Linked DNA regions of Mus musculus: all the other regions are reported to be linked to region 1. Evidence: microRNA targets listed by miRTarBase, many of them from high-throughput screens and not tested one by one. Region 1 holds a microRNA gene; each other region holds the end of a gene's coding sequence.

The links. The annotated mature microRNA mmu-miR-10b-5p reads UACCCUGUAGAACCGAAUUUGUG and lies in region 1 at 3,413-3,435, shown strand. An mRNA with a match to its seed (bases 2 to 7 or 8) in the 3' UTR can be bound and repressed. Matches are read on the target gene's strand: a 7mer-m8 pairs with bases 2 to 8, a 7mer-A1 pairs with bases 2 to 7 and ends in A, and an 8mer does both.
Region 2: the mRNA of Slc35e1 is a reported target of mmu-miR-10b-5p. Seed matches in the 3' UTR shown: 7mer-m8 at 5,921-5,927, 7mer-m8 at 4,454-4,460 and 7mer-A1 at 3,927-3,933.
Region 3: the mRNA of Dusp3 is a reported target of mmu-miR-10b-5p. Seed matches in the 3' UTR shown: 7mer-m8 at 1,637-1,643, 7mer-A1 at 2,520-2,526 and 7mer-m8 at 3,010-3,016.
Region 4: miRTarBase lists Cracr2b as a target of mmu-miR-10b-5p. Seed matches in the 3' UTR shown: 7mer-m8 at 6,296-6,302.

Annotation. Positions count from the first base shown.
Region 1 is chr2:74,722,662-74,729,776 of GRCm38, forward strand. Mir10b (microRNA 10b) reads left to right here and starts at 3,409; the gene lies at 3,409-3,476. All of the region lies in intron 1 of Hoxd3 (homeobox D3), which reads left to right. Hoxd4 (homeobox D4) reads left to right here. Exons shown (of 6, transcript NM_010469.2): 3 at 671-706; 4 at 2,802-3,317; 5 at 4,215-5,044; 6 at 5,601-6,499. The coding sequence starts at 4,618. The coding sequence ends at 5,926.
Region 2 is chr8:72,477,602-72,484,716 of GRCm38, forward strand. Slc35e1 (solute carrier family 35, member E1) reads right to left here. Exons shown (of 6, transcript NM_177766.3): 5 at 7,060-7,115; 6 at 394-6,392. The coding sequence ends at 6,165. Among named protein-coding and RNA genes, the nearest start is that of Cherp, 5.9 kb to the left of the region's middle.
Region 3 is chr11:101,968,492-101,975,606 of GRCm38, reverse strand. Dusp3 (dual specificity phosphatase 3 (vaccinia virus phosphatase VH1-related)) reads left to right here. Exons shown (of 3, transcript NM_028207.3): 3 at 668-4,464. The coding sequence ends at 873. Among named protein-coding and RNA genes, the nearest start is that of Sost, 5.0 kb to the right of the region's middle.
Region 4 is chr7:141,465,609-141,472,723 of GRCm38, reverse strand. It overlaps Cracr2b (calcium release activated channel regulator 2B), which reads right to left. Exons shown (of 10, transcript NM_001025103.2): 8 at 7,039-7,115; 9 at 6,887-6,958; 10 at 6,122-6,678. The coding sequence ends at 6,501. It overlaps Cd151 (CD151 antigen), which reads right to left and starts at 5,362. Exons shown (of 8, transcript NM_001111049.1): 1 at 5,258-5,362; 2 at 4,178-4,305; 3 at 3,379-3,469; 4 at 3,067-3,258; 5 at 2,713-2,787; 6 at 2,499-2,603; 7 at 2,256-2,414; 8 at 1,243-2,173. The coding sequence starts at 3,462. The coding sequence ends at 2,027. Polr2l (polymerase (RNA) II (DNA directed) polypeptide L) reads left to right here. Exons shown (of 2, transcript NM_025593.1): 2 at 1-864. Gm10575 (predicted gene 10575) reads left to right here and starts at 4,953. Exons shown (of 2, transcript NR_152219.1): 1 at 4,953-5,842.

The DNA of each region.
Region 1 (7,115 bases):
AGAATGAGATCATATTTTAGACCATGTCTGTAAGATCTAGATCATTTTCCTTTAAACACATCAATTTCCCTTTCTGGTTATCTTTTGGGTTCTCATTTCCCCTCGGAAGGAAATGACTGTTTTGAATTGGAGACATGGAAAAAAAAAAATATGTCCCTGCCTGCCATGCCTCCTCTTTGAGGAGAATGCAGGTTTGGACGCTGGGGTGGAATTAAAAACCAACCTGAAACTGGAAAAGGAGGTCTGAACTGTTTCCAGAGGGAGCAGAATTGGGGTCGGGACAAATAGAATGTCTGCAGGCTCTCACCAGTGGGCTCGCACCCACCCTCCCACACCAGAAGGAAATGCACAAAGGCCTATTTTCTGACTTCCCATTTCCCCCCTGGGGAAACCCTGCCTCAGGCAGTCTGAGTCAGGCCGTATAACTGGTTGGGTTTTGCCCAAGGGTGCGTGAAGTAGGGTAGGTGACCAGGACAGACTCCCATAGCCCTTAGCTCTGCCTTTGAGGATGCTATCAGAGGAAAACTTTGTGCAGTACCCGAAGGCGGTCACCAGAAGCAAGGAGTTCTAGGTATTGGTGGAATGTCTGGGCCTTGTCACGTTCTGCATGTCGCCTATGGATGCTTTATTGTCCTGTGAAATTTGAGAGACCCCACTTTCATTGCAACAGGTTTTGGAGCGTCAGGGAGAACGAGGGAGAACCACTGTAAGTACCTTCCCTTTTCTTCCGAGGAACGAAAGGGTAGTGCTAAGACTGGGAGGAGGTGGGCGGAAGGTCCGCGCCAGCGGTGATGGGAGGGTTAAGGAGTAGCGGAGTGGCGCTGCCTCCCCAGGCCAAAACGGACTCGCTTCGTGGAGGGATGGAAGCTCTAGGCTGACCCTTTAGGAAGTATTTCTGGGACCTAGTTCACAGTCACCTGCTCAAGTAAACGCACCGCAGGGGACCGCCCTTGTCTTCCCGGACCTCTCTGGACCATACAGGCCTTTGCCAGGCTTCTCTGGCTCGCACAGGTGCAGCAGACTTGCAGCTAATTAGCAGCCCACCCTATCAACGAACTGAACTACGGGCGGGCCAGCATCCACAACTGCTAGAATTGACCCAATCAACACCAAGGCAACGGGGGTCCCTCTCTGCTGTCCAGCCATTATTCTCTCTGCCCAGTCTATCTCAGCCTTCTCTTGCTGTATATAGGTTTTAATTTAAAATTTGATTTATTACAGACAAAAACAAACATATAACCCTTGATGGTCTTGGGTGTGTTGGATTGGCCTGTTTCCAGGAAGGGCTACAACTTCTGAGCTTATGTAGACATTCCTCTCCTGTCCCTTTCTGGGTCCTAGCTTCACTGGTGTGGGTCCCAGTTTGGGATACCCGGTGAACAAAAAGAGTACTTTCTCTTTCCCTCCGTTTCTCCTTAGCTGCAGTTGAAGAATTTCTACTCTACTCCAGAGTCCAGTGGAATTGGGTGGGATCAGAGGCAGGGACTCCAGTTCTTTGGCTCTGAAGTTTGAAGCTGAGAATGCTGGTGACATCTTCTGGGTGTCATTAGAAGGGTTGGCACTAGAAGGAGAGTCAAGGAAATAGTAGAGGCTTGCCACTCACTGCAAACCACAGGTAGTTTAATTTTAATGGAACAGTAGCAGATTGGTAAGGACCACAGGGACCAGGCATCCTCCCTCTCTTGTGAGATGTCTTCCCTTCCTGGTCAGAGAAGCTGAGACTGGGCTCAGGGCCAGGTTTCTTTGCTGGGCCCCTGGTGAGGCTGAGCTAACAGGGAAGTGAAGACCTTTACAGCTTGTAGTTCCTTCTATGAACCAGGCCTGCACACAGTGAACCAGGCTCCATGGTGAAAAATCTGGACTCCCCAGACTTTCTCTGGCCTTGCCCCTGCCCTCTTCCTTGGCACCCTTGGCTGTGAGGGCTCATCTCTGCTGAGGCTGCTTGCTTGCTGGCGCCTTGTAGCTGCCCACAGCACAAAAAGCCGGAGAGATCAAAAGCATTTGTATGGGCAGTTGAGAGGGAGGTGAATATTTAACGCTTTTGTTCATCAATAACTTGTTGGCTTTGACCTGTCTGAACAAGTCGAGCAATAAGGTGAAATGCAGGTCACAATGTCTAACAAATATGAAAATGTGTGTACTCATCTTGGTCCTCACTCAACCCATCGGACTTCCCCAATTTGTCTGGGTAAAACAGAGGTAGGCCCAGTGTCCCCAGAAAGGCCTGTCAACGTGTCCATGGGTGAAAGGGCTGGCATTAGGAGAAACTGGGGAGAGTCTTTAAACAAACGGATTTTAACCCCCTTTTTTTTTTTTAGAACTGACACCTGGGAAATCCCTGCAAAATAGTGGAAGTGAAAGATGGTGGGAGGGCATGGAAGGGCAAAGTACAGGGTCAAAGTGAGCACCTAATTTTGCCAGATATGATGAGGGGAGTCTCCCTGCCCCACCCCATCAAAATCAAGGCATGGGGCTTGAAAGTGATTTTTCGAATTATATAGGAAGGGATCAAAACAATACTTAGAAATGTGGACATCTTCAATCTGTTATCAGGCATCCATAAGCTCGGCCCAGGCCAGGGCATCCCTCTGCCCCTGAAATCAGCCCAGCCCCAGAGTGCATCTGGGCTCTTGATGCCCTGAATTGAGGGGCAAGCCCAGGACAGCGGAGGCGCTGGGGCGGCGAAATTCGCGAACTTTTGTACTCTTCTGTGCTGCTGTCGGCAAAGCAAAAATAATGAAACTTTGTGATATGTTTGTAAATGATTTCGAATGACCCCTCGCCCTGCCCTTCACCATTAGCTCGACAGTCTCAGCCCAGGGAGGCTCGGTGGCCGCAAACAGCGCCTGCCTCCGGGTCTGCAGCAGCAGTCATAGCAGCAGCAGAAGCAGCAGCAGCGGGATCCGAAAGTCCGGCGGGGCTGAGGGCCCAGAAAGGTAAATGCTCGAATTCTAGGAGGACTAGCTGTGACCACTCACTTGGCTTAGGTTCTGGTGAAGACTATTCCTTTTGCCTTTTTCAAAACTCCCTTTCTGCTGCTGAGGGCCTTTGCTTCTTTTTGGGAAATACCACTTGATAAGGGGGCGGGAGATTTGGGTTCTGAGAAGGGGCAATTAAGCCGCCATCTCTGGGGTGAAAAAAAAACTCCCCTTCTTTTCTTTTCTTTTTTTTTTTTTTAAGAAGAAGAAGGTCCTGGCTGCTCAGCTACTTGGTGGCCCCCATCCTGGCAAGCCGATGAGGGAACTCATTGCTGTAGCGAGCAGCAATACTTAGAAATGCACCGAGCCTACCTGCACCATCTCTGAAAGCCAGGCTTGGTGAGTTCCTGGTGGCTGTGCTGAAGAGATCAGGTCTGGCAGCTGCCTGAATGTCTGCTCTGGGTAGGACCCGAGGTTGTAACGTTGTCTATATATACCCTGTAGAACCGAATTTGTGTGGTACCCACATAGTCACAGATTCGATTCTAGGGGAATATATGGTCGATGCAAAAACTTCATATATCTCCGACATGGCCAGAGACTGAGGCGCGGAGAGTACTGGCAGCCCAGCCGGCAAGCCACCTCTTTCTTTTTCATTACCTTAGACTCCAGGATGATCGACTTTGCCTGGTGAAATTGTACAGCCTTTTCCTGGAGAAACTCCTATAGATATTCCAGTAGGTGCTCAAGTGGTTGTCTGAGTGTAAAGCCAGAGAGCCAGGTTTTAGGGTATTAGAGAGTGAGGTGAAAGGCCAGAAAGCTCCAGCAGAAGCCCTGCTCTGAAGGAGCATGAGACACAAAGGTACCCAAATGGGGCTCACCTGCCCTTGTGTGGGAAGAAGACAAACTGAAAGATAGGCCATCGGAGACCGTTGGGGTACATTTAGGCAAGGTTAAGGTCCCCCTCCCCACCATCCCAATATGACCCAACCCCTCAGCCACCAGACTCAGAACTGTGAGGGCCTCCTGCAGAAAGATCCAACTTCAACTAGAAACACCCCAGCCTGCGCATTGGCAGAAAAGCATAGTGGTTACTCATTGCCTAACTCAATTCAGGTCCGCCAGATTCTGGTAACTTTTGGGTGACCCTGATGAAGACAAAGCCAAGACAGGTCTTTGTATGTCAGAGTCCAGGACTCCTGCCAGCTGGCCGGGCAGCCTGCCTGCCTGCCTAGGACTCTACCCAACTCGGAGGCCACATTGCCCACACTCATTCTTCCTTATTTTGCACCCCAGTAGGAGAATTCACTCTTCTTTGAACTATGTCCATTCTGGGGGCTGCTTCAGGCGATGGTGAGTAAGGAGGGCATGGGAGGTTAGCAAAGTCAGTGGAAGACAAAAGCCGAGATTACCTGCCGGAAATTGGGACCCCGGGGATAGAATTAGAACTCTATTAGCATCTGTCAGGGACTCTCAAATGTGGCATGGCAAGTCACTTGATTACACGTATGTTATTTAGTTAAATTTGTGAAAATTATGAGATGCTCACCAACCCGGTGATAAACATGCTTTCTTCCTATTGGCTGGCCTGGTCACATGGCCGCCCAACTTTATTCAGTTGACAGCAAGTAGGAGGGCCCAATGGAAGGAGAAAAAAGACAACACGAGAAAAATTAGTATTTTCTACCTTCTGAAATTAATGGCCATGAGTTCGTATATGGTGAACTCTAAGTACGTGGACCCCAAGTTTCCTCCGTGCGAGGAATATTTGCAGGGTGGCTACCTAGGCGAGCAGGGAGCCGACTACTACGGCAGCGGTGCACAGGGCGCCGACTTCCAGCCCTCGGGGCTCTACCCACGGCCCGACTTCGGCGAGCAACCCTTCGGAGGCGGCGGGCCCGGGCCTGGCTCAGCGCTGCCCGCGAGGGGTCACGGACAGGAGCCGAGCGGCCCGGGAAGTCATTACGGTGCCCCGGGAGAGCGGTGCCCAGCGCCCCCGCCTGCGCCCCTGCCTGGCGCTCGGGCCTGCAGCCAGCCCACCGGCCCCAAGCAGCCGCCCCCCGGGACAGCACTCAAGCAGCCCGCTGTGGTCTACCCTTGGATGAAGAAGGTGCACGTGAATTCGGGTAAGGAGTGGGGGCAGCGACCTCACAGCCCTCCCGCACCACTCCTTGCATCTTTTGGCCTGCACCCCCCACCCCAGGGGTTGCGAATGGGTAGGGGCTTGTGCAGCTTCCTTGGGCGCCGCAATTACTCTCTCCATAAATTTTTATAGCTGAGGGAGCAGGCCGGGACCATGTGGCTGGCTGCTTGGCTGTGGGCGCAAAAGGGGGTGGGGATGGGGATGGGGTGGGGGGAGGACTCCATTTCCACAGCAGAGGGAACGCAGAGCAAAACAAGGACCTTTCCAAAATGTTGGCGATACCGAGCTCTTGGTGGGCCAGTGGCAAGGGAGAACCTTTGAGGAGGACCTGTGAGCGTGGGGAGTGTGTGCATGGAAGGGCTTGGGTGGGAGTGTGTGTATGTTTAGGGAGAGGGCGGGAGGGAGGAAGCTGGCCAGCTTGGAGCACAGGGGGGGCCCGAGGGCTGCGAGACGCGCCAGGAAGTGAGGGCAGAGGCAAGCCTGGGGCCTAACTAGTGGCCGGGCTCTGACCTGGCTGTCTTGTATGTTTTGTCTCATAGTGAACCCCAACTACACCGGCGGGGAGCCCAAGCGCTCCCGGACGGCCTACACCAGACAGCAAGTCCTAGAACTGGAAAAGGAATTTCATTTTAACAGGTATCTGACCAGGCGCCGTCGGATTGAAATCGCTCACACCCTGTGTCTGTCTGAGCGCCAGATCAAGATCTGGTTCCAGAACCGGAGGATGAAGTGGAAAAAAGACCACAAACTGCCCAACACCAAGGGCAGGTCTTCTTCCTCATCTTCCTGCTCCTCTTCAGCTGCCCCGGGCCAGCATTTGCAGCCAATGGCCAAGGACCACCATACGGACCTGACGACCTTATAGAAGTGGGGACCCTGGGCCTATCCCTTCTTGCACTCCAGGTTGAGGCGAAGCTGCGGGTGCAGGCGGGGCCTGCTGTCACCTCACTGGGCTCTAAGGTACTGTGGGGGTGGACCTGGGACCTGCAGGCCGCCCTCGGACTAGGTTACCTTCCTGCCCGAGGGCAGCCCCCTCCCTAAAGTGGGGAAGGGTGGGAGGGTGGGCGGGCTTCTTTAAGTAGATTATCATATGGCAGGAGCTACTGAGAACATAAACCCTTGGCGAGTCATTAAACTCCTGAAAATCTCTGCTGGTGGATTGAATTTGCAAATGAAGGTTGGAGGCTTTACCCCAGTGGGAACCGGGATGGTCTCCTCCACACCACCCCCTTCAGGGAGCTGTGTGGCTTAGTAACTGTGGGGGAGTTGAGGCAGAAGGCCAGCCAGTGCTAGGTGCTTTCAGTGCAAGCAGGAGAGGCTGAGCCAGAATCCCAGAACTTTCTGGATTATCTATAGAATTTCTTCTGTGATTTAAAAAAAAAAAAAAAAGAAAGAAAGAAATTGTTTGCTTCCAGTGGCCCATGCCCAAAGAAATAAATCCAAGAAGGAAACGGGTTATTTTATGTTTAGTTTATATTTGCTTAAATATTTATTTGTTCGGGGAATGGACTGCAGAAAATAACCGACACCTGCGTGCCAAAAACCTTAAGATGGTGAATAGTCTTAAGCTTCAGGGAACTGGGTTAGAAAGCTGTGGACTCCTTTCTGGCCCTATTCCGGATTTTGAGCTCCTCCCTCCTAAACTACCCACCCTGGAGATGTGTGGAGGAGGCCCTTAAGCCTTCAAGAGGGAAGCTGAGGAGCCAGGAGAAGCGAGTTTTTGAAAATATGTTTCCGAATGTGCTTCTATAGCACTGTGTTTACAAGCAGTTCCGGGTGGATGAAAGAAGGGGGTTGGGGAAGAAACAAATGGTCTAATATTTTCTTCTGGGGAAAGAAAACCAAACCTGTATGCCCTGGGCCATCAGATAATGTCTGAATTTCCTACTTCAACTAGATTCCAAATGCTCCAACTATCCCCAAAAGCAGCCTTTTATAGGATTCTGTGTATGGCCAGTGTGTGTGTGTGTGTGGGGGGGGGGGTGCTGTGCAGTAGGGAGAGAGTGTGTAGGTAAGGAAGTCTTATTTTTAAAAAGAAACTAATAGACTCTAGA
Region 2 (7,115 bases), not on the chromosome of region 1:
AGTGTGTTCTTTGTTCTGGGTCTCTCCACTGGCCTACGTGCTGAGAAGGGGGCGGGGGTCCCCAACATGTTGGATCAATAAAAATCCTCATGCGGTTTGCAGCGATGGCAGTCTCTGTGGTCTTTGTGAGTGAGGGTCTTTTGACGAATTCCAACGGCACCTCTCAGTCCCTCAGTAGGGACACCCAAGTATCCTGGTTTAAAGCAATGGAAGTGAGAGAGGGGTTCTGGGGAGATGGCTCAACTGTTAAGAACACTGGCTATTCTAGAAGACCCTAGTTTGATTCCAAGCACCTACATTCGTAGCCTACAAATGCAGTTCCAATTCCAGGGCATCTGGTAACTTAATAACATGAGTCAAAACACAAAATTAAAAAGCAATAGGAGAGCCAGGTGGTGGTGGCACGCACTTTTAATTCTTGCACTAAGGCAGGGCAGGCAAGGCCAGCCTGGTCTACAAAGCTAGAACAGCCAGGGCTATTACACAGAGAAACCATGTCTCAAAAAGACCAAAACAAAATGAGAGGGCCAGTAGAACATTCAGAGGGTGACTATTCTTAGAAGTTTCTTCTGTTTTATTTGTTGAGGGAGGTGCTCCTGCTTGCCTCTGCCTCCCCAGCACTGGGGTTAAAGGTACACCCCCTCCCACACCTGGCCCCATCTCTTGCCACCTCCCTAATAAGGCTGGGCAACTAGATCCTGCCTAGGTAAGGTGCCCCTCAAGCCCCTTGGCAGTGTTCCTCAGCTGGCTCTTGCCTACCTACTGAGCCCCTTTGGGAGTCTGAATGAATCATACACTGAGGCTGAGACCAAAGCTTTGCATTTGGTCCCTTCACTGTGGTAGCTTCCCTGACTGCTCACAGAATCCTCCAAAATACAGAGGAAACCTAAGCAGCCAGAAATACAGGGCTGGAAGTGCTTCCCTACCATGTGTGAGGTCCAGGGTCTCCTGCTGTTTTGACAGCCAGCCACATAACTCCTAGAACTGAAGGGCATGGCTCCAGTTCAGTGGCCAACACCAGTATCAGAGACAGAAGATACACAGTGAATTCAAAGCTAGCCTGAGCTCCTTGAGGCCTGTCTTAACACAGCAAGATTGCCTAGTGGGTAAAGGTACTTGCTACTAAGCGTGGTGACCTGGGACTTAGTGGGAGAACTCGCTTTTATAAGTAGCCTTCTGACCTCTACATGCACCATAGGATGTGTAACCTTCCCCGCGTCCCATACAATAAATAAATGGTTAAAAATGAAAAGGGCAGCCAGGCGTGGTGGCACGCCTTTAATCCTAGCACTCCGGAGGCAGAGGCAGGCGGATTTCTGAGTTTGAGGCCAGCCTGGTCTACAAAGTGAGTGAAAAGAACAAAAGAAAGAAAAAAAAGAAAGAAAGAAAGAAAGAAAGAAAAGGGCTGGGGCTGGCAAGATGGCTCAGTGGGTAAGAGCACTCACTGCTCTCCCAAAGGTCCCGGGTTCAAATCCCAGCAACCACATTGGCTCACAACCGAGTGTAATGAGATCTGATGCCCTCTTCTGCTACATCTGAAGTCAGGTATGGTGTACTTATGTATAATAAAATAAATCTTTGGACCAGAGCAAGCAGAGATTGAGCAAGCAGGGTTGACCAGAACGAGCAGAGGTCCTAAAGTTCAATTCCCAACAACCACATGAAGGCTCACAACCATCTGTACAGCTACAATGTACTGGCATACATAAATAAACCTTAAAAAAAATGAAAAGGGTTGTTAGGCTGGGCTGAGTGGCTAAGAGTTGGATTCTACCCCCCCCCCCCCAAGCCAGAACTGGATAGGACTGTCATATCTGTGCTGTGGGAGATGAGAGTGGAGGATGACTGGGGCTCCAGGTTCAGTGAGTGACCCTGCTTCAAAAAGTAAGATGGCAGACCTATTGGCACACAAGGACATGAGGCTAGCCTCTTGCCTCCACATCCATGTACAGGTGCCTGTTGTTGCCCAGCTACTTATAGAGGTCAAGTGCTTGCTACAAAGGCATGAAGACATAAAAAGCCAGGGGTAGTGAAGCATATTCATGCCAGAGCTGGGGAGGGAGGAGGAGGAGGAGCCATGGGGCTCACTGGCCCAGCCTCCAAGTATACAGGAGGAAATTTGCACCTCAGCCTGAGGCGGAGGATCAATAGAGGTCAGTCTGGGCTGCAGAGGTTAGCTATAGAAATGGGTGCTCTGACTGGCCTTTAGGAGTGTAGCTGGACCTGGACTCTTGCAGGAACAGAATCCTGGTGCAGCATAAGGTAGCTGAAGCCATAGAGGTGCTATAGGAGCCACAGCAACAGTAAATTTATACACAAACATACACTTATGCACATGTATACACACATGAAAGCACACACTCGCATGCAAATACACTCAAAGTTCGTTAGACACCCAGGCATGAAAAAAAAAGACAAAAACAATCTTTTTGCCTTGCATACACATGTGATTTGTGTGTGTAGACACTTGTGCTTGTTTGTGTGTAGGTGCTTCTCTCACTCTCTCTCTCTATATATATATCCTCAAACTCTGAGATCCACTTGCTTCTGCCTTCTGAGTGCTGGGACCAAAGGTGTGCAAGGCTGTGCCTAGCACACTTAAAATTTTTTGTGTGGGTGTGTGCATGCCACAACACAAATGTGGAGGTCAGAGGACAACTTACAGGAGTTGGTTCTCTCCTACCATGTGGGTTCTAGAAATTGAACTCACATTTTGAGGCTCAGCAGTAATTGCCTTTACCTACTTAGCTATCTTGCTGGCCCTCCACCTTATACATAAGGCATGGTTTCAGGATGAACCTGGCCAATAGTAAGCTCTTGCCCATGATCCTGGAACCTTTACCTGACTCTCCCACTAGGATGGCAGGTGGAGCTGGATCTGCCCAGCTTTTGGGGGTTGTAGAGATCCCAACTCTTGATTTCCATATCTGCCAGTCAAAGGCTGACCAAGCCATCTTCCCAGCCCTGGATTTTTGTGGGTTGTCCTGATGGGAGCACAGAGCAAGACCCTCCCTGACAAACCAGAACCAAACTCCAACCCCTGGAGACCACCATTTATTTTTGGTAAATGCCAACCAGGAGCACAGCTACTCCCATAGTACAGTCTATGACACAGGAGCCTCAAGATGACAATGGAAAGCAAGAGCATGACAGGTTTCCTGTTTCAGACCCAAGGTTTTGGGGCTGGGGTCTAGCCATGAAGAGCTCACTGCTTGGAGTCCTCCCAACATACAGAGAAATCAAGTTCCATGTATTTTGCTGCCTTAGTTCATCTGGCTCCTCTACTCTGTCAAGAAAGTTTTGGGTTTCCCTAGAATAAATGACATAAATTAAGGTGCTGGGTATGGCAGCTCCTCCAGGCACGGAGGCTAAGGCTGGAGGAGTGCCTTCTATTCTGTGGTCAGCCTGGTCTAAATAGGCAGATACTATCTCAAAGAAATAAATAAAAGCTCCAAGTGCACTAATAGTGAGAAGACATCCACTAAGCCTCATTTTCTTCTTCTGTAAAATGAAGGAGCTGGGTAGGTCAGGATCAGCGTTTTGGCTAAGCAATTTCAAAGGGTACGTGGGAACAGCAACATAAATTCTCAAATAAACCCCAACAGAGGTGGATCGGGTCAGTCCTGGAGAGGGAGAGGTGAATGTAGTGGGATGTAAGACACAGGAGTAGGGCTAATGTGACTTTGAATGGACAGATGTAAACTGTGGATCAAGTCTGTTTTGTTGTTGCTCTCATATAGCCCAGGCTGGCTTCCAATTCACTATGTTACACTGAACTCCTGATCCTAACTGCCTCAGCCTCCTGAGTAATGGAGTAACATTCGTGTATGCAGTGCTGAGGGTGGCCAGGACTTCATGCATGCAGGTAAGCACTGTAGCCAGAGCGGCAGCCCCAGCTGTTTGTCTTTTGATCCGAGAATCTGGTCTACCCTGATTGTCTCATCCATTCCAGTGTTCATACTTGCTGTGAGCCTATGAACAGAACTAAATATCCCATTTATTAATTTATAAACCGTTAAGAAAAGTGAGACGGGCCATTTTGCTCCCTGAAAAAGGAAAAATGCATTAATACACAAATTATAGGAACATCTTGGTAATCTTAAAAGACATAATTCATTCTGAGTCCAGAGCTGAGTCAGGGTCACCCATAGAGACCTCTGCAGTGACAGGTGTCTCAGGCCAGCCTTCCCCAGTGAGGAGAACCCAACAGACGGCCTTACCAAGGGACTTCTTCTGCAAACCAGCTAGGACTAGGCAAGGCAGACGGGACTGTCCTGAGGCCGGGGGTGCCAAGTCTCAGGCAAGCAGGAGACTAATATGATAAACCGGGCAGTGGTGGCGCACGCCTTTAATCCCAGTGCTCGGGAGGCAGAGGCAGGCGGATTTCTGAGTTCGAGGCCAGCCTGGTCTACAGAGTGAGTTCCAGGACAGCCAGGGCTAGCTACACAGAGAAACCCTGTCTCGAAAAACAAAACAAACAAAAAACCCTAACCTTCAATATAAAACCCCAAGTAATCAAAAGCAGAGGGACCCAACAAATCAGGAGTTAAGGACTGGGGTGCCATGATGTACCTGTGAGCTCAGTTCTTAGCAACAGAGGAGGCACAAATGCTAAGGTCAGCCTGGGAGGCTTAGTGGGATGACTCCATCTGGATGTGGTGCCCATGGTTTTAAAGAATCCAAGCACTCAGGAGGCAGAGACAGATATATCCCATGAGTTCAAGGTCAGCCTGGTCTATATTATAAGACCCTCTCTCAAAACCAAAAAACCCTGAGACCCATTGATACCCCTTCCTATCATTTACCTGCTGTCAATTGCCACAATGGCATTGAGCTCACAGGCTTGGGGAAGTCTCTTGCTTCTGCTTCAAGAGTACCTAAGACCATAGGTATGGGCCACCAGCCCCTCAACTTTTTCAGAGAGAGTCTCATTATGTAACCCAGACTGACTTTAAACCCATGGCCATCTTCCTGCCTCAGCCCCTCGATATATGCCACTATGGCAGGTCCCTAAACTGATCATTTTCCTGAGGCAGCTTCTCATTGAAGCCCAGGCTGGTCTGGAACTTACTTTGTAGAGAACCTTGTCCTCTAGATCCTCCTGAATCTGCTTTAAGAGTGCTAGGAAGGCAGGCAGGCCTGTACCACTGCGTGGCATTCTGTGGACAGAATCTAAGGCTGCACGAATGCTAGACAGGCACTCTACCCAGCCTCAAAGTGATTCTTAACTAAAAAACCAAGACCTGCCTGGTGTCCCATTTGCCAGAGCACAGTTAAAACCCTGATACACATGCGGTCTCCTCACTGACAAGCAACACTGTACTCGGGTATGAATACCTCCTTCTACCTCTGTGGCTGCAACTTCAGTACCCTTCGGCATTGCCTGCTACCACTGACCTGGGAGGGACTGGCTCCAGCAACAAACATCCCATATTTTGAAATGAGACAAGATGGTTTCCATCCCATGGCCGACAAGATGTTCCCCAGAGAAACTTAGGTTCTGAGGAAACTGTCATCACCACTCCTTGGCCTTCTGTGCCATCAGGAGAGTGGGGAGCAGACAAGCTGCTCCTCTAGAGTCCAAGGGCCCCCCAGGCCCTGCTTTGGCACCCACAAGGCAGAGGAAGGTCACAGCTGATGGGCTGATGGTCACTATAAGTCTGCCCTTGGGCAGCACTAGCTGCAAGTGGCCAACTGCCTTGGGGTATTCTAGGGCTCTGTATCATTGGTGGGATCAGGTAATGCCACCCATGTCAGCCCTCCATCCTTCTGGGCTGTATCCCAGCTGTCCTCTCCATGATATCCCAGATGCCATCTCCTGTTGGCTTCCAGGATTGCAGCCAGGAGGTGCCAGTTCTGTAGAGCATGTCCCTACTCTCACCAGAAGTTCAGATCAGACCTCTGTAATATGCCAGGGACAACCCTGTACACAAATGCAGAGTGGCCTCTTAGTGGAGGCGTAAACCAGGGTCTCTCTGTGGTTCTTTTCTGCCCCGAGTTTGTGGGTGTCCATGCTATGATCACATCCTGCAGCCCATCAGGGGCCAGGGGCCAGGACCCAGAGCTCCCCTGATGGCCCACCAAGTGTCATGTGCTCAGTCAGGCTGCCAGAATATTCTGAAGCTTCTGAGCTCAAGAAGGGGGTGCAGAAGGCCTGGCCTGGCCTATACATCATGTCGGCTGAGAGCATAGGAGTTTGGGTGGCCCTGGCGGCTGTATTGGAAGTGGTCTGTGAGGAGGATATTGCGGTACTGGAAGTCACCCTGCTGGGGGAACAATGCACCATTGTGGGGCTTTTCCACTGGGCTCCGCAAGTGCTCTCTGCTGCTCAGGTCTGACGTGGAGATGGGAAGAAGATGGCGCCGGGCCTGCTGATTCGCATCATACTTGGTCTGTGTGAAGAGAGCAATGAAAAGCACAAGGGAACTTTGGGTATGGGGGGGCATGTCATCCTAGCTCTATGGAGGCAGAGTCAGGAAGGGCAGGTGTATAAGGCTAGCTACATGGTAAGTTTGAAGCCAACCCAGGCTACATGAGACTTAAAAAAAAACGAAGAGAAGTCACCGGGAGGGGAGGGGAGGGAAGAACATCAGCATAAAAAAGGTCACCCTAAAACCAAGGACTAGGGATGCTTCTGTAGTAGAATGCTTGTCTACAAGATATATGCTCGAGGCTCCATCTCCAGCACTACATAAACCAGGATACAGATACAGATACAGACACCTGTCATTCTACTCCAAGGGAGGTGGAGCAGGGGGTCAGAAGCTGAAGGCCACTCTGGGCTACACAAGACTGTTCTAAAACAAGTAAGACACAAAGAAGGCTTCTGGCCTCTGCACCGATTGCCCTAGAGATCAGGGTGTAGAGGCAGGAGGATAGTGAGTTCTAGAAGGCCTGTGCTTAGACGCCTACTGCCACACTCTTCTGTCTAGCACGTACAACCCACACACCCTGTAAGGCACCCTTGGGACCTACAGCTAGAAATCCCTCCCCTCTCTTTCCCTTGGCTCCTTGTCCCAAGGGTGTGCCTGCTAGGGGACAGTAGCACCCAATGCTCACCTTGTTGTACAGGAAGACACCCAGAATGGCGGTCATCATGCCCAACACATTGGTGC
Region 3 (7,115 bases), not on the chromosome of region 1:
TGGGGGCTTGTTCCATAGCCCAAACTGGCTTTGCACTTGCAGTTCAAAGTGACTCCCTGTCTCCACCTCTTAGAGTATTGGAATTACGATGTGTACTACCACACCTGACTGGATCATTAATTCTTTGATGGGGGCGGGGAAGCGCACATGCTGCAGGTGAAGGGATGACTGGACTGGACATGAGCGTGGAAGCCAGAGAACAGCTTCAGTCTAATGCTCTCCCAACTGAGCTATTTCGGTTTGCCAGAGAACAACTTACAGAAAGTTCTCAGTGCCATGTGGATTCGGGGTTGGAGTTCAACTCATCAGCTTGACATTGGCTCCTCTACCCACTGAGCCTTCTCACTACTCTCTACCTAGATCATTAATTCTTTTTTAAAAAGACTTATTAGGGGGCTGGAGAGATGGCTCAGCCGTTAAGAGCACCGAATGCCCTTCCAGAGGTCCTGAGTTCAATTCCCAGCATGCCATTGCTGGGCAGTAGGGGGCGCAGGTGTTCAACGTGAGTAGCTGTTGCCAGTTTTCCGCGGTGGAGAACCTCTTGACACCCTGCTGTCCCTGGTCATTCTGGGTGGGTGCATGGTGATATGCTTGTTGTATGGAAGACTTTGACTGTTACAGTGAAGTTGGGCTTCCACAGTTACCACGTCTCCCCTGTTTCTTGCAGGCCGGGTGCTTGTCCATTGCCGCGAGGGCTACAGCCGCTCCCCAACGCTAGTTATCGCCTACCTCATGATGCGGCAGAAGATGGACGTCAAGTCTGCTCTGAGTACTGTGAGGCAGAATCGTGAGATCGGCCCCAACGATGGCTTCCTGGCCCAACTCTGCCAGCTCAATGACAGACTAGCCAAGGAGGGCAAGGTGAAACTCTAGGGTGCCCACAGCCTCTTTTGCAGAGGTCTGACTGGGAGGGCCCTGGCAGCCATGTTTAGGAAACACAGTATACCCACTCCCTGCACCACCAGACACGTGCCCACATCTGTCCCACTCTGGTCCTCGGGGGCCACTCCACCCTTAGGGAGCACATGAAGAAGCTCCCTAAGAAGTTCTGCTCCTTAGCCATCCTTTCCTGTAATTTATGTCTCTCCCTGAGGTGAGGTTCAGGTTTATGTCCCTGTCTGTGGCATAGATACATCTCAGTGACCCAGGGTGGGAGGGCTATCAGGGTGCATGGCCCGGGACACGGGCACTCTTCATGACCCCTCCCCCACCTGGGTTCTTCCTGTGTGGTCCAGAACCACGAGCCTGGTAAAGGAACTATGCAAACACAGGCCCTGACCTCCCCATGTCTGTTCCTGGTCCTCACAGCCCGACACGCCCTGCTGAGGCAGACGAATGACATTAAGTTCTGAAGCAGAGTGGAGATAGATTAGTGACTAGATTTCCAAAAAGAAGGAAAAAAAAGGCTGCATTTTAAAATTATTTCCTTAGAATTAAAGATACTACATAGGGGCCCTTGGGTAAGCAAATCCATTTTTCCCAGAGGCTATCTTGATTCTTTGGAATGTTTAAAGTGTGCCTTGCCAGAGAGCTTACGATCTATATCTGCTGCTTCAGAGCCTTCCCTGAGGATGGCTCTGTTCCTTTGCTTGTTAGAAGAGCGATGCCTTGGGCAGGGTTTCCCCCTTTTCAGAATACAGGGTGTAAAGTCCAGCCTATTACAAACAAACAAACAAACAAACAAACAAAGGACCTCCATTTGGAGAATTGCAAGGATTTTATCCTGAATTATAGTGTTGGTGAGTTCAAGTCATCACGCCAAGTGCTTGCCATCCTGGTTGCTATTCTAAGAATAATTAGGAGGAGGAACCTAGCCAATTGCAGCTCATGTCCGTGGGTGTGTGCACGGGTGCATATGTTGGAAGGGGTGCCTGTCCCCTTGGGGACAGAAGGAAAATGAAAGGCCCCTCTGCTCACCCTGGCCATTTACGGGAGGCTCTGCTGGTTCCACGGTGTCTGTGCAGGATCCTGAAACTGACTCGCTGGACAGAAACGAGACTTGGCGGCACCATGAGAATGGAGAGAGAGAGAGCAAAGAAAGAAACAGCCTTTAAAAGAACTTTCTAAGGGTGGTTTTTGAACCTCGCTGGACCTTGTATGTGTGCACATTTGCCAGAGATTGAACATAATCCTCTTGGGACTTCACGTTCTCATTATTTGTATGTCTCCGGGGTCACGCAGAGCCGTCAGCCACCACCCCAGCACCCGGCACATAGGCGTCTCATAAAAGCCCATTTTATGAGAACCAGAGCTGTTTGAGTACCCCGTGTATAGAGAGAGTTGTTGTCGTGGGGCACCCGGATCCCAGCAGCCTGGTTGCCTGCCTGTAGGATGTCTTACAGGAGTTTGCAGAGAAACCTTCCTTGGAGGGAAAGAAATATCAGGGATTTTTGTTGAATATTTCAAATTCAGCTTTAAGTGTAAGACTCAGCAGTGTTCATGGTTAAGGTAAGGAACATGCCTTTTCCAGAGCTGCTGCAAGAGGCAGGAGAAGCAGACCTGTCTTAGGATGTCACTCCCAGGGTAAAGACCTCTGATCACAGCAGGAGCAGAGCTGTGCAGCCTGGATGGTCATTGTCCCCTATTCTGTGTGACCACAGCAACCCTGGTCACATAGGGCTGGTCATCCTTTTTTTTTTTTTTTTTTTTTTTTTTTGGCCCAGAATGAAGTGACCATAGCCAAGTTGTGTACCTCAGTCTTTAGTTTCCAAGCGGCTCTCTTGCTCAATACAATGTGCATTTCAAAATAACACTGTAGAGTTGACAGAACTGGTTCATGTGTTATGAGAGAGGAAAAGAGAGGAAAGAACAAAACAAAACAAAACACCACAAACCAAAAACATCTGGGCTAGCCAGGCATGATTGCAATGTCTACAGGCCCAGTTCATGAGAGGCAGAGACAGGAAGACCGCCGAAAGGTCAAGGATAGCATGGTCTACGTATCGAGACTCCAGCCAGGGCTACGGTCCCAAGATCCTAGGTTTTGGATTTTGGGCTTTGGTTTTTGAGACAGGGTTTCTCTGTGTAGCCCTGGCTGTCCTGGAACTCGCTCTGTAGACCAGGCTGGCCTCAAACTTAGAGATCTGCCTGACTCTGCCTTTGAGGGCTGGGACGAATGCCACCACTGCCCAACTAAGATTCCATTAAAAAAAAAAAAAGTTCAAGATAATTAAGAGTTGCCAGCTCGTTAAAGCTAAGTAGAAGCAGTCTCAGGCCTGCTGCTTGAGGCTGTTCTTGGCTTGGACCTGAAATCTGCCCCCAACAGTGTCCAAGTGCACATGACTTTGAGCCATCTCCAGAGAAGGAAGTGAAAATTGTGGCTCCCCAGTCGATTGGGACACAGTCTCTCTTTGTCTAGGTAACACATGGTGACACATAGCATTGAACTCTCCACTCTGAGGGTGGGTTTCCCTCCCCCTGCCTCTTCTGGGTTGGTCACCCCATAGGACAGCCACAGGACAGTCACTAGCACCTACTGGAAACCTCTTTGTGGGAACATGAAGAAAGAGCCTTTGGGAGATTCCTGGCTTTCCATTAGGGCTGAAAGTACAACGGTTCTTGGTTGGCTTTGCCTCGTGTTTATAAAACTAGCTACTATTCTTCAGGTAAAATACCGATGTTGTGGAAAAGCCAACCCCGTGGCTGCCCGTGAGTAGGGGGTGGGGTTGGGAATCCTGGATAGTGTTCTATCCATGGAAAGTGGTGGAATAGGAATTAAGGGTGTTCCCCCCCCCCCCAACCTCTTCCTCAGACCCAGCCACTTTCTATGACTTATAAACATCCAGGTAAAAATTACAAACATAAAAATGGTTTCTCTTCTCAATCTTCTAAAGTCTGCCTGCCTTTTCCAGGGGTAGGTCTGTTTCTTTGCTGTTCTATTGTCTTGAGAGCACAGACTAACACTTACCAAATGAGGGAACTCTTGGCCCATACTAAGGCTCTTCTGGGCTCCAGCACTCTTAAGTTATTTTAAGAATTCTCACTTGGCCTTTAGCACACCCGCCACCCCCAAGTGGGTGTGGATAATGCCATGGCCAGCAGGGGGCACTGTTGAGGCGGGTGCCTTTCCACCTTAAGTTGCTTATAGTATTTAAGATGCTAAATGTTTTAATCAAGAGAAGCACTGATCTTATAATACGAGGATAAGAGATTTTCTCACAGGAAATTGTCTTTTTCATAATTCTTTTACAGGCTTTGTCCTGATCGTAGCATAGAGAGAATAGCTGGATATTTAACTTGTATTCCATTTTCCTCTGCCAGCGTTAGGTTAACTCCGTAAAAAGTGATTCAGTGGACCGAAGAGGCTCAGAGGGCAGGGGATGGTGGGGTGAGGCAGAGCACTGTCACCTGCCAGGCATGGGAGGTCCTGCCATCCGGGAGGAAAAGGAAAGTTTAGCCTCTAGTCTACCACCAGTGTTAACGCACTCTAAAGTTGTAACCAAAATAAATGTCTTACATTACAAAGACGTCTGTTTTGTGTTTCCTTTTGTGTGTTTGGGCTTTTTATGTGTGCTTTATAACTGCTGTGGTGGTGCTGTTGTTAGTTTTGAGGTAGGATCTCAGGCTGGCCTTGAACTTCTGATCGCCTGCCCCTGCCCCTGCCCCTGCCCCTGTCCCTGCCTCCAAGTGCTAGGACTAAAAGCACATGCCACCACACCAGTACAGCATTTTTCTAACATTTAAAAATAATCACCTAGGGGCTGGAGAGAGGGTTCCAGCTAAGAGTGCACACTGCTCTTGGGTAGGACCTGAGTTTAGTTCCCAGAACCTATACTGGGTGGCTCCAGGTCCAGAGGATCCAGGACCTCTGGCCTCCATGGGCATCTGCTCTTAGCACATACCCACATACAGATACACACATAAAAATAAAATGAAGCCTTTAAAAACCTCCTAAAACCTAGCCCTTGGAGGTACGACTCTGGAAAGCTGGCATACTGTGTAAGTCCATCTCATGGTGTTCTGGCTAACGTAAGACTTACAGAGACAGAAAAGAACTCAGGGTGTGCTGGGGGTTGGGATGGAGGAAGAGGGATGAGTAGGGGGAGCACGGGGAACTTGGGCAGTGAAAATTCTTTGCAGGACACTAGAGGAGGATAAATACCAGTCATTGCACCCACTACTGGACAACTCCAGGGAATTATGCTGGGTGAAAAGAGAAGGCCCCAGGTATTGGCTGCATTGGCTGCATTTGCGTAACATTTTTTTAAATTGAAAAGAAAAAGATGTAAATCAAGGTTAGATGAGTGGTTGCTGTGAGCTGAGAGCTGGGGTGAGTGAGACATGTGGACAACTCCATCAAAAAGCGACAGAAAGAACGGGCTGTGGTGACAGCTACCTCTAATCTCCACCTCCGGGAGGTGATCAAGGTTAGCCCTCAGCTAGCCTGTGGTGCATGAGACCCTGTTTCAAAAACTTTAATAAAGAAATAATGAAAAAAGACATCAGGGCAGATCCTTGGGGCCAAAGGCGGACAGGCGAGTCTCGTGGTAAGGTCGTGTAGAAGCGGATGCATGAGCACGTGCCGCAGGCATCATGAGAGAGCCCTAGGTAAGTAAGGATGGATGTGAGTGTGTCGGCGTCGGCGCACTGCACGTCCTGGCTGTGGTGCTGGACTGGCATCTTTGGTGAGCTGTGGAGGGGAAATGGGTAGGGAGATCATAAAATCCCTCCGAATTATTTCAAGAACTGTCTATTACAATTATCTCAAAATATTAAAAAAAAAGAAGAATTAAAAAACAAAAAACCTATCCAGGTGTGGTGGTGTGCACCTATAGCCACGGGCACTTGGAAAGCTGGAGCAAGAGGATGGCGAGTTTGAAGGTATCTGGGGCTGTACAGCAAGACCGTCGTCCCCAAACCAAACCAAACAGCAAACCCATTATGTCACACAAGAGTGTTTATAGTGAGCGGCCTCGCTGAGAGCATGGGGTGGGGGTGGGGGTGGGGGACAGAAATATCTAAACTGCAGTCAATAGGGATCCACTGAGACCCTGGGGCTTGACTGCAGCTTAACCTTGGGAAATGATAAGGGTTTTGTGTTGAGTAAAAGCATCGATTACTGACTTAACCTCAAATGAAGAAAAAGAAAAAAAGAAAACAACAAAAGCCAAACCAAGGGGCTGGTGAGATGGCTCAGTGGGTAAGAGCACCCGACTGCTCTTCCGAAGGTCCAGAGTTCAAATCCCAGCAACCACATGGTGGCTCACAACCATCTGTAACGAGATATGATGCCCTCTTCTGGTGTGTCTGAAGACAGCTACAGTGTACTTACATATAATAAATAAATCTTAAAAAAAAAAAAAAAAAAAAAAGCCAAACCGAGCAAACCAGGCCCCCAAACAGAAGGCAGGCACGACGGCAGGCACCACGAGCCATCCTGTGAAAAGGCAGGGCTACCCATGGGCCGAGGAGGGTCCAGAGAGATAGGCTGGTAAGCTCAGTTTCTCTGTATACCCTTTTTCTTGTTGACACTACTTCAATTACAGATAAAATAACAAATAAACAAAATCTAGAGCCTGGCCACTCTCTGCTCGCTTGATTTTTCCTGTTACGTCCAGCAGGTGGCGGAAGTGTTCCAAGGACAGATCGCATCATTAAGGTGGCCAGCATAATCTCCCATCAGCAGGTGGTGCTGTGAGAACCATTATGGTGCTCACAGAATCCCGGGCCCAGGAGCTGCCCTCTCCCAAGTCTGGAGCAATAGGAAAGCTTTCTGGCCCAGACAGGGTTAACAGTCCACATTCCAGAGCAGGGGAAAAGGAGACTGGAGGTCACAGACAAAAGGGCCAGCTTCTAACAACTTCACAGCTCTGGTAGGAGAGATAGATCACCCCCAACAATGGCCACAGCTGGTTTTGTCTGCCCCGAAGGAAACTGACTTAGGAAGCAGGTATCAGAGTCCCCTTCCTGAGGGGACTTCTGTCTGCCTTGTAAAGCTGTCAGAGCAGCTGCATTGATGTGTGGGTGACAGAAGATGAAAAGGAGGACCCAGGCAGATCGCCACAGATGGACCGGCCACTTACAAGTCGAGGCAGGTGGCAGAGCCTTGCAGAAGCTCTGCAGGTGGACGACACTGATTCATTACCCAGTTAGCATACCACAGCGGGCTAGGCGGA
Region 4 (7,115 bases), not on the chromosome of region 1:
TCACTGTGTCCCCACAGAGGCCAGATCCCCTGAGAGTAAAGTTATAGAATGTATAAGCTGCCATCAGGTATTGGGAATCAAACCCAGATTTATTTACCTTTCATTTTCCAAGACAGGGTTTCTCTGTTTGGCCTTGACTATCCTGGAATTCAACTCTGCAGACCAGGCTGGCCTTGAACTAAAGAGATCAGTCTCTGCCTCCCGAGTGTTGAGTTTAAAGGACGGCTTGTGCCACCCAACCAAACCCAGATACTGTAGGAGTACGCCCAAGGCCACAGGCCTCACGAATTTCTTGGGTCCTAAAGCCCATCAGCTGTGTGAGCCTATCTGCTGCCCATGCCTGAGGATCTTGTTTCCAGAATCTTCCCAGGCCCGACAGCTAGGCAGCCCTGCCCCTTGACCCAATCCCCACAGCATGTAGTCCTAAGAAGCCTACTCTAGGCCAAAGGAGGTGGTGTAGTGCTTTAGCTCCTAGGCATCTGCATCAAGTACCCCGGGTTCTTTCTAGCACATTGATCCCTTTGAGAATTTTGGTGGGTTTTTTTGTTTTGTTTTTTGAGACCAGCTTTGGCTGGTTTGAAACTCACAACAGTCAGCCTGCCTTTACCTCTTGGATTCTGGGATTAAAGGTGTGTGTGGCATAGCATACCCACCCTACCCCACCCCTGGTTTTTTGTTGTTTTAAAGAAAAAGGCGGGCTGGTGAGATGGCTCAGTGGGTAAGAGCACCCAACTGCTCTTCCAAAGGTCCAGAGTTCAAATCCCAGCAACCACATGGTGGCTCACAACCATCCGCAACAAGATCCTCTTCTGGAGTGTCTGAAGACAGCAACAGTGTACTTACATATATTAATAAATAAATCTTTAAAAAAAAAAAAAAAAGAAAAAGGCTTTGCCTTAGGCTAGAGTCCAGAGAACCCATAGTGGCCTCCTCCAGCTGGCACAGAAGACTGTGGGGAACAAAATCAGCTTAGGACCTCTTCTCAGCTGCTTAGATGAGCTAAAGCCAGAGAAACAGGAGCCAGGGCATCCCCAACAGGCCCTGGTGCCTCCCTTGCCCTCTGACCCTAGCAAGGCCTACAGACTCTTCCTTGAGCATGGACAAGTCCAGGCCACAGTGGGCTGGGGGGATGTTCCAGCTACCAGTGCTCACCCTAACTGTAATTGCCATTGGGCTTCACCAACCTTGACTCTTGTGAGTACTCCAGCTACCCTGGACCATAAGGTCCTGTCAGCAAGCTGATTCGAGTGCTTATACATTTACATTTATTGAGCACCTGTTACATAGCAGGAGCATTTGTGGGCAGCATCTGGAATACAGCAGTGAGATGAAAACAGCCATGCTCCATTCAGAGATGCTCCAAAAGGAGACAGTGTACAGGAACATGGAGCATTTACATGATGCTATCAGTAGTGAGAAAAGGCCAGGGCTGAGCTGTTAGGAGCAAGAGGCCTGTGTGGAGAGGACAGAGCATCAAGTGTGGGGTTGGAGTTTCCCTCAGCTTACACCATTTGTTTGGGGCAAGCAGATCTGAGAGTTCCTGGTAGCAGGCATGAAGGGTGCCTAATCCAACCAGAAAGGCCCCACCTGCTTTTACCCAACGTGTAGTGGTGTACTCAGGTTCTCCCCAGACTTACTGCAGATCACAGCTACCCAAAGGGAAGCAGTCTGCATAAGAGGCACTTCTGTCAAATAATCTAAACCCTATTCTACTAGCCAGGCCTAGCCCAACACTGGCATTTGAACCCCCCACCCCCCCCCCCCTTCTTAATGCTGGGGCAAGTACGCTGCTTCGAGCTTTGGGACTTTGGTGTGCAGTGAAAGGCACTTGAAGGTGCATGCCCCTGAGGTGGCATGCCAGGGGGGGTCATGGCGATGGCATGAGGGTAGCTACCTCTGGCAGTCAGCAGTCTAAGTCAGTAGTGTTCAGTAGTGGGGCTGGGACATAGTGCAAGGCTGGCCGCCCAGCCTGGCATCATCGTGGTCAGTAGTGCAAGGCTGGCCGCCCGGCCTGACATCATCGTGGTCAGTAGTGTTCCAGCTTGAGGCTTCGGTACAAGCAGCAGGTGAAGATCATGCCGAAGACCTGCACACAGGCGATGCCAATGCCCACCGCCCCAATGACCCGCAGGTGCTCCTGAATGAAGGTCTCCAGCTTAGTGATACAGCCACCCTAGTGGGAGAGAAGGGTGGTGGGCCAGGCTGCCTGAAGACCAGTCCGGCCTAGCCCCGCCCCTTGCTGAGAACCCACCTACCTCCACTTTATAGATGTTGGAGGCATGGTCCCGCTTACCACAGCCAGCTACCATAGTCTTACAGCAGCTGTCAGGAACCACGCGGCTGTCTGCCTCACCAGAGCGGATCCACTCGCTGTCTTGCCAGTCTTGAGAGTTGTTGCTGCCACAACAGTGGAACTACAAGGGGCACATGGCTGAGCCTCAGCGCTTGCCGGCACACGGCACCATGCCGAGAGGGCGGGCAGTTCTAGGGGCACCCACCTCTTGCTGCAGCTTGTCGACAGCGCTGCTCACACCCTCGTGGCCTGACTGGTGGTATCTCTTGACCATGGTGTCCTTCAGATTCTCCTTGAGCTCTGTGTTCAGCTGTGGGTAGGATCAAACTCTGGGCAAAGGCAAAGCTGGAGCCAGGACCTCCAATGGGACTGACAGGGCCATGTTCTAGGCACACCCCATGGCCTGTCCAGGCCCTTACCTGCTGATAATAGACATAGGCCAGGATGCCAGCAATGATCTCCAGGAGGAAGATGATGAGGAGCAGGATGAAGTACTAGGGAGCAGGGACCCAGTAAGTGGGGGGTTGCTAGTGCCAGAGTACCACAAAGCCAAGCCCCCAACCCAGGAGGCCAAGCAAGAGGAATTCAGTTAGGAGCTACACTCTGGGGCTGCCTAGCTCCTTCATAGTTCTGAAGCTCGTGTCTGCCCCAACAGGGACAGCCTGCAGTAATACACTCAACCAGTTAAGTCCCCAGAACCAGTACCAGAGGCCCCCTGAGAAATCCATGCAAGGCACCCCTAGCCCCACCGTGTGCCACCATGCCCCACTGACCAAGCGTAACAGGTTCCGTCGCTCCTTGAAAGTGGCACAGCAGCCCAGGACTCCAGTCACCATGACAACAACACCAGCCACCACTAAGATGTAGGCCGTGGCTAGGTAAGTGCTTGAGGCCAGCAGACTAATGTAGTCACTCTTGAGGGCCAGTGTCCAGATGCCCACTGCCATGACAGCCAGGCCGGCCAGCTGCAGAAAGTATATACTGGTCACCACATCTGGCCTGGGTCTGGAAGCTGGGACTGAGCCCCCCAGGCCAGGCCTCCAACATGGGGACTAGGGATGCAGGGAGAAATTAGCTCTTCTCACCCAGAAGCAGCAGTTGTAGGTAAAGAGCAGGTACTTGAGGCAGACTGTGCCACATGTTGCCTTCTTCTCATTGAATTCACCCATCCTGGGCCTAGAGGAACGGGGAGGAGGTCAGATGGCCTGAAGCACCAGGCCTCCAAGTAGGAAGAAAGCTATCTACCAACGGAGACAGGAGGAGATCCAGCAGTCCCCGGATGATTGCAGTTTGGAGCTCAGCCAGCTATCTGCCCTCAGAGGAGCATTCCCAGGAACCTTATGAGTCACTTCCTGAACTAACCTCCTCACAGCCAGACACATGGTGGGTTATCATGGAGGACCCCCCAACATCTGCTGACTCACTCCTGCTGGCAACAGGGGGGGAAGCACCAGCAGACCTTCAGGGTACATTCCTGTTGATCGGCACCCCCAAGCATTCCCTGAGTCCCACAATCAGGCTGCTAGGTACTTACCACTCATACCCGTTCCCAGATATGGCAGAGAGCTCAGGCCACCCTAAGGGACAGTTTGTGAGGACTCTGAGCTGACTCTACTACCAGCCAGGGCAGAGACAATAAGATGCCGGTAGGTGGAGCCTGTACAACCAGCTCTCCTCCCGACTGTAGGGGGAGGTCCCAGTTCCACATATGTGAATGTGCCACTCCTCCAGGAGTCCCCTAGTCACACCCTGCCCTAGACACACTATTGTCTGACTGAGGACAGTGTACAGACCTCGGCTGACGCAGGTCAGATTCCCAGACACACACCTAAGCAGAACTGTTAGCCAGGGGCCTTGAGGCTCTGCCCAGGCACCAGCTCTCACCTCTCAAGTCAGGACCAGCAGGTACAGGTCAAAAGTCACTCTCTGCCCTTCACCTAGCAGGTGGGATCTTGCCACTCCAACTACAGAAGCTTAAGCAGTGGTCAAAATGGTTCTCAGAGCCACCAGATCTGCAAGGAAGCATAACAGGCAGGCCTGCTGTTTTCTACTGGACGGCGGCAGGCCAAAGAACATGGCTGACCTGCCTGATCTAGGGAGGGACCAAATGCCTTCTCCAAGTGCCCCACCTTCCAGTCCCATCCATCACAGTCCCTCCCCCACCAAACAGCAGCGACCGCAAACTGAAGGAGGATGCATCGACTGTCCATTTTGGAAAGTGGGAGAGATTTCAGAGCTCTATTTGGAGATGGGACCCAAAAATGCATGCTGCCTCACTGAAAGCGGGCAATGACATAAAGAAGCCTGGCCACAATGCAAACCCCCGGGGCCAGGCTCTAAAAGCCCAGAATCTATGGGCTTTTAGACACATCCATCAACCTAAGCCAAGAGACAATCAGCAGACTGGATGTAAATTCTCTGTGAAAGTGCCGGTGTGAGAGCCTGGACCAGCCAGAAATAGCTCCTGCGGCCTGGACACAACCGCCCTACACTTAGCTCCTGGACCTGTCCTGGGCCTTCGGCACCCGCCCCACCGACCCGATTAAACACTGAAGTGGGCTGGGCGAGGAATCCCCGCGTCACAGAGATGAAGTCACCACCGCCCCTGCCGCCCTCCCCCGCCCCGTGCCAGTGGGCGGACCTGCGGTCTCAGGGGAGGGAACCGGTGTCCAGGGACAATGAATAGGGTGGTCAGACTTTTAAATTTCTGGGTTTCTGCACGAAAGAGACCGTCAGGCCTGCTCAAGAACCACAGAAGCTCTCTCCCTCACCCCTCCCCCTCCGGCCTTCTAACTGCCCGGCCCCGGCGTCGATCTTCCGGAAAGGAGTCTGCAACCCTGTCCTACCTCAGGCTCTGCCTCCTGGGCGTCCCTGAGGCCAGCTTGGAGACTAGGAACACCAGTGAGCGAGGAACTCAGGACACTGCTCCCCACACCCTCCGGCTATGCTTCACGGAGCACTCACCAACCACGCTTTGAAATACCAGCCCCGGCAGCCACGGTAGGAGCGATCACTCGGAGTACAGAGAACGCTCGGCCCGGGGCCTGCGAGGACACGCCCTGCGCGCGACCCCGCCCCGGGCGCAGCCCCGCCCACGGCCGGCCTGGGCAGGCAAGTCCTAACTGGTTTGGTGCTAAGGCGCGCGCCAGAGAGACCTGTGGGTCTGTAAAGTTAGTTTAAAGGTGCCCCGTTTGTCATCAAAAGCCCCAACTCGCCCAGAGACAGAGGAGCTAGACCAGAGGTAGAACCCAGGTGGGGAGCGAAGAGGTGGGGAAGGTGGCACCTAGCCCACCAGAGGTCCAGAACTGAGGTCAAGACCAGTTTCTCTAGTCTAAGCCGGGAGAACCACTCTAAAGCTGCAGGTTCTAGCGGCTGAAGAAATGCTAGAGGGGAAACTCCAGATACAGTGTGGAGGGTGCCAGAAGATTCCATAGAGACATGAGGGCCCTGCGAGAGGTGCCCAGTGTGGGTGGCATATGGTCTGGCTAGGAACTGTGCCAAAGGATGATGGATAAAGGACCTGGACCAGAAAGCTAGCTGACCACGGAGGTGAGGAGCGGGACCTTCCACGTGTGGACTAGCGTGGGAGCGGACACCTGTTGAAACCTGAGTCCTGGGAGCTTCAGCTGGGAGGAATGGGTGAGGGCTTGGTGAATATCCAGAATCACAGAACACACACAAGCACACAGGAACCCCCAGCTGCAGGAACGAAGGGGTTAATGTGCACCTGTAAACCCCTCCATGTCACCTTGTGCCATGGATACCAAGCATGAACCACAAATGCACCGTGGCTCCCAAACACACAAGAGCCAAGGAGTACACAGTATACAATGGCCTTTATTGGTCCTTCAGACAAAGATTAAGGAAGACAGGATAGCCGGGCGTGGTGGCACACGCGCCTTTAATCCCAGCACTCGGGAGGCAGAGGCAGGCGGATTTCTGAGTTCGAGGACAGCCTGGTCTACAGAATGAGTTCCAGGACAGCCAGGGCTACACAGAGAAACCCTGTCTCGAAACCCCCCCCCCCAAAAAAAAGGAAGACAGGATAAAGACTGAAGGACTGAAGGCCTTGACTACTCTGAGGTTAGCTCCTTCAGGCATGGGATGCCTTCTGGGTAGAGCCACACACTTAGCAAGTATCCGCCACCAAGACCAGTCCCTCCTAGGGGCAGTCCTCTGGATAGGGAAGTGAGTCACTCGGGGCTGGTCATCGGGCACTAGGAAGATGGCCAGAGCCTCGTCTGGGGGGCCGAGCCCAGCCACAGCAGCAGCAGCAGTAGATGGGTCCGGGCTTGTGGGCAATAGCTAGAGCCTTCCTGTGGCTACTGCCCAGCAGCTTGGTCTCACAGGCATCTCTCTCATCTCGAAGCCTCAGATTCAGCTCCCTAGAAAAGAGAGGTAGGAGACCGAGGAGGCTAAGATCTAGAGGAAAAAGTGCATGGGGGAGATGCCTTCCCTGAGTCAAGAGGACTACAGAGCCAGCCGCATGAAGGCTATAGGGCAGACATAAGGACTTCCAGCAACATGGGTAGGAGCCAATACTATCTGGAAACTTGAAACCACTTCCCATTAGCCCAGGCAGGCCTGACCCACCTCAGCAGCTCCAGCTGCCTTAGGAGGCTGAGTTTCTCTTTCTGCATATTCCTGGAGACAGCAACCACATCTCTGTGGACAGGAAGGCTGTGATCCAGATGTGGGTTGGGGGGACAGACCCTTCTACCCTCACCACAGGCACTTCACCACACCTTTGGGTTTGCTCCTGCCGACCCTGTGCTTCGCCCTCCAGTCGACTGAGCTGCTCTTGGGCCTGGTCCAGCTGTGC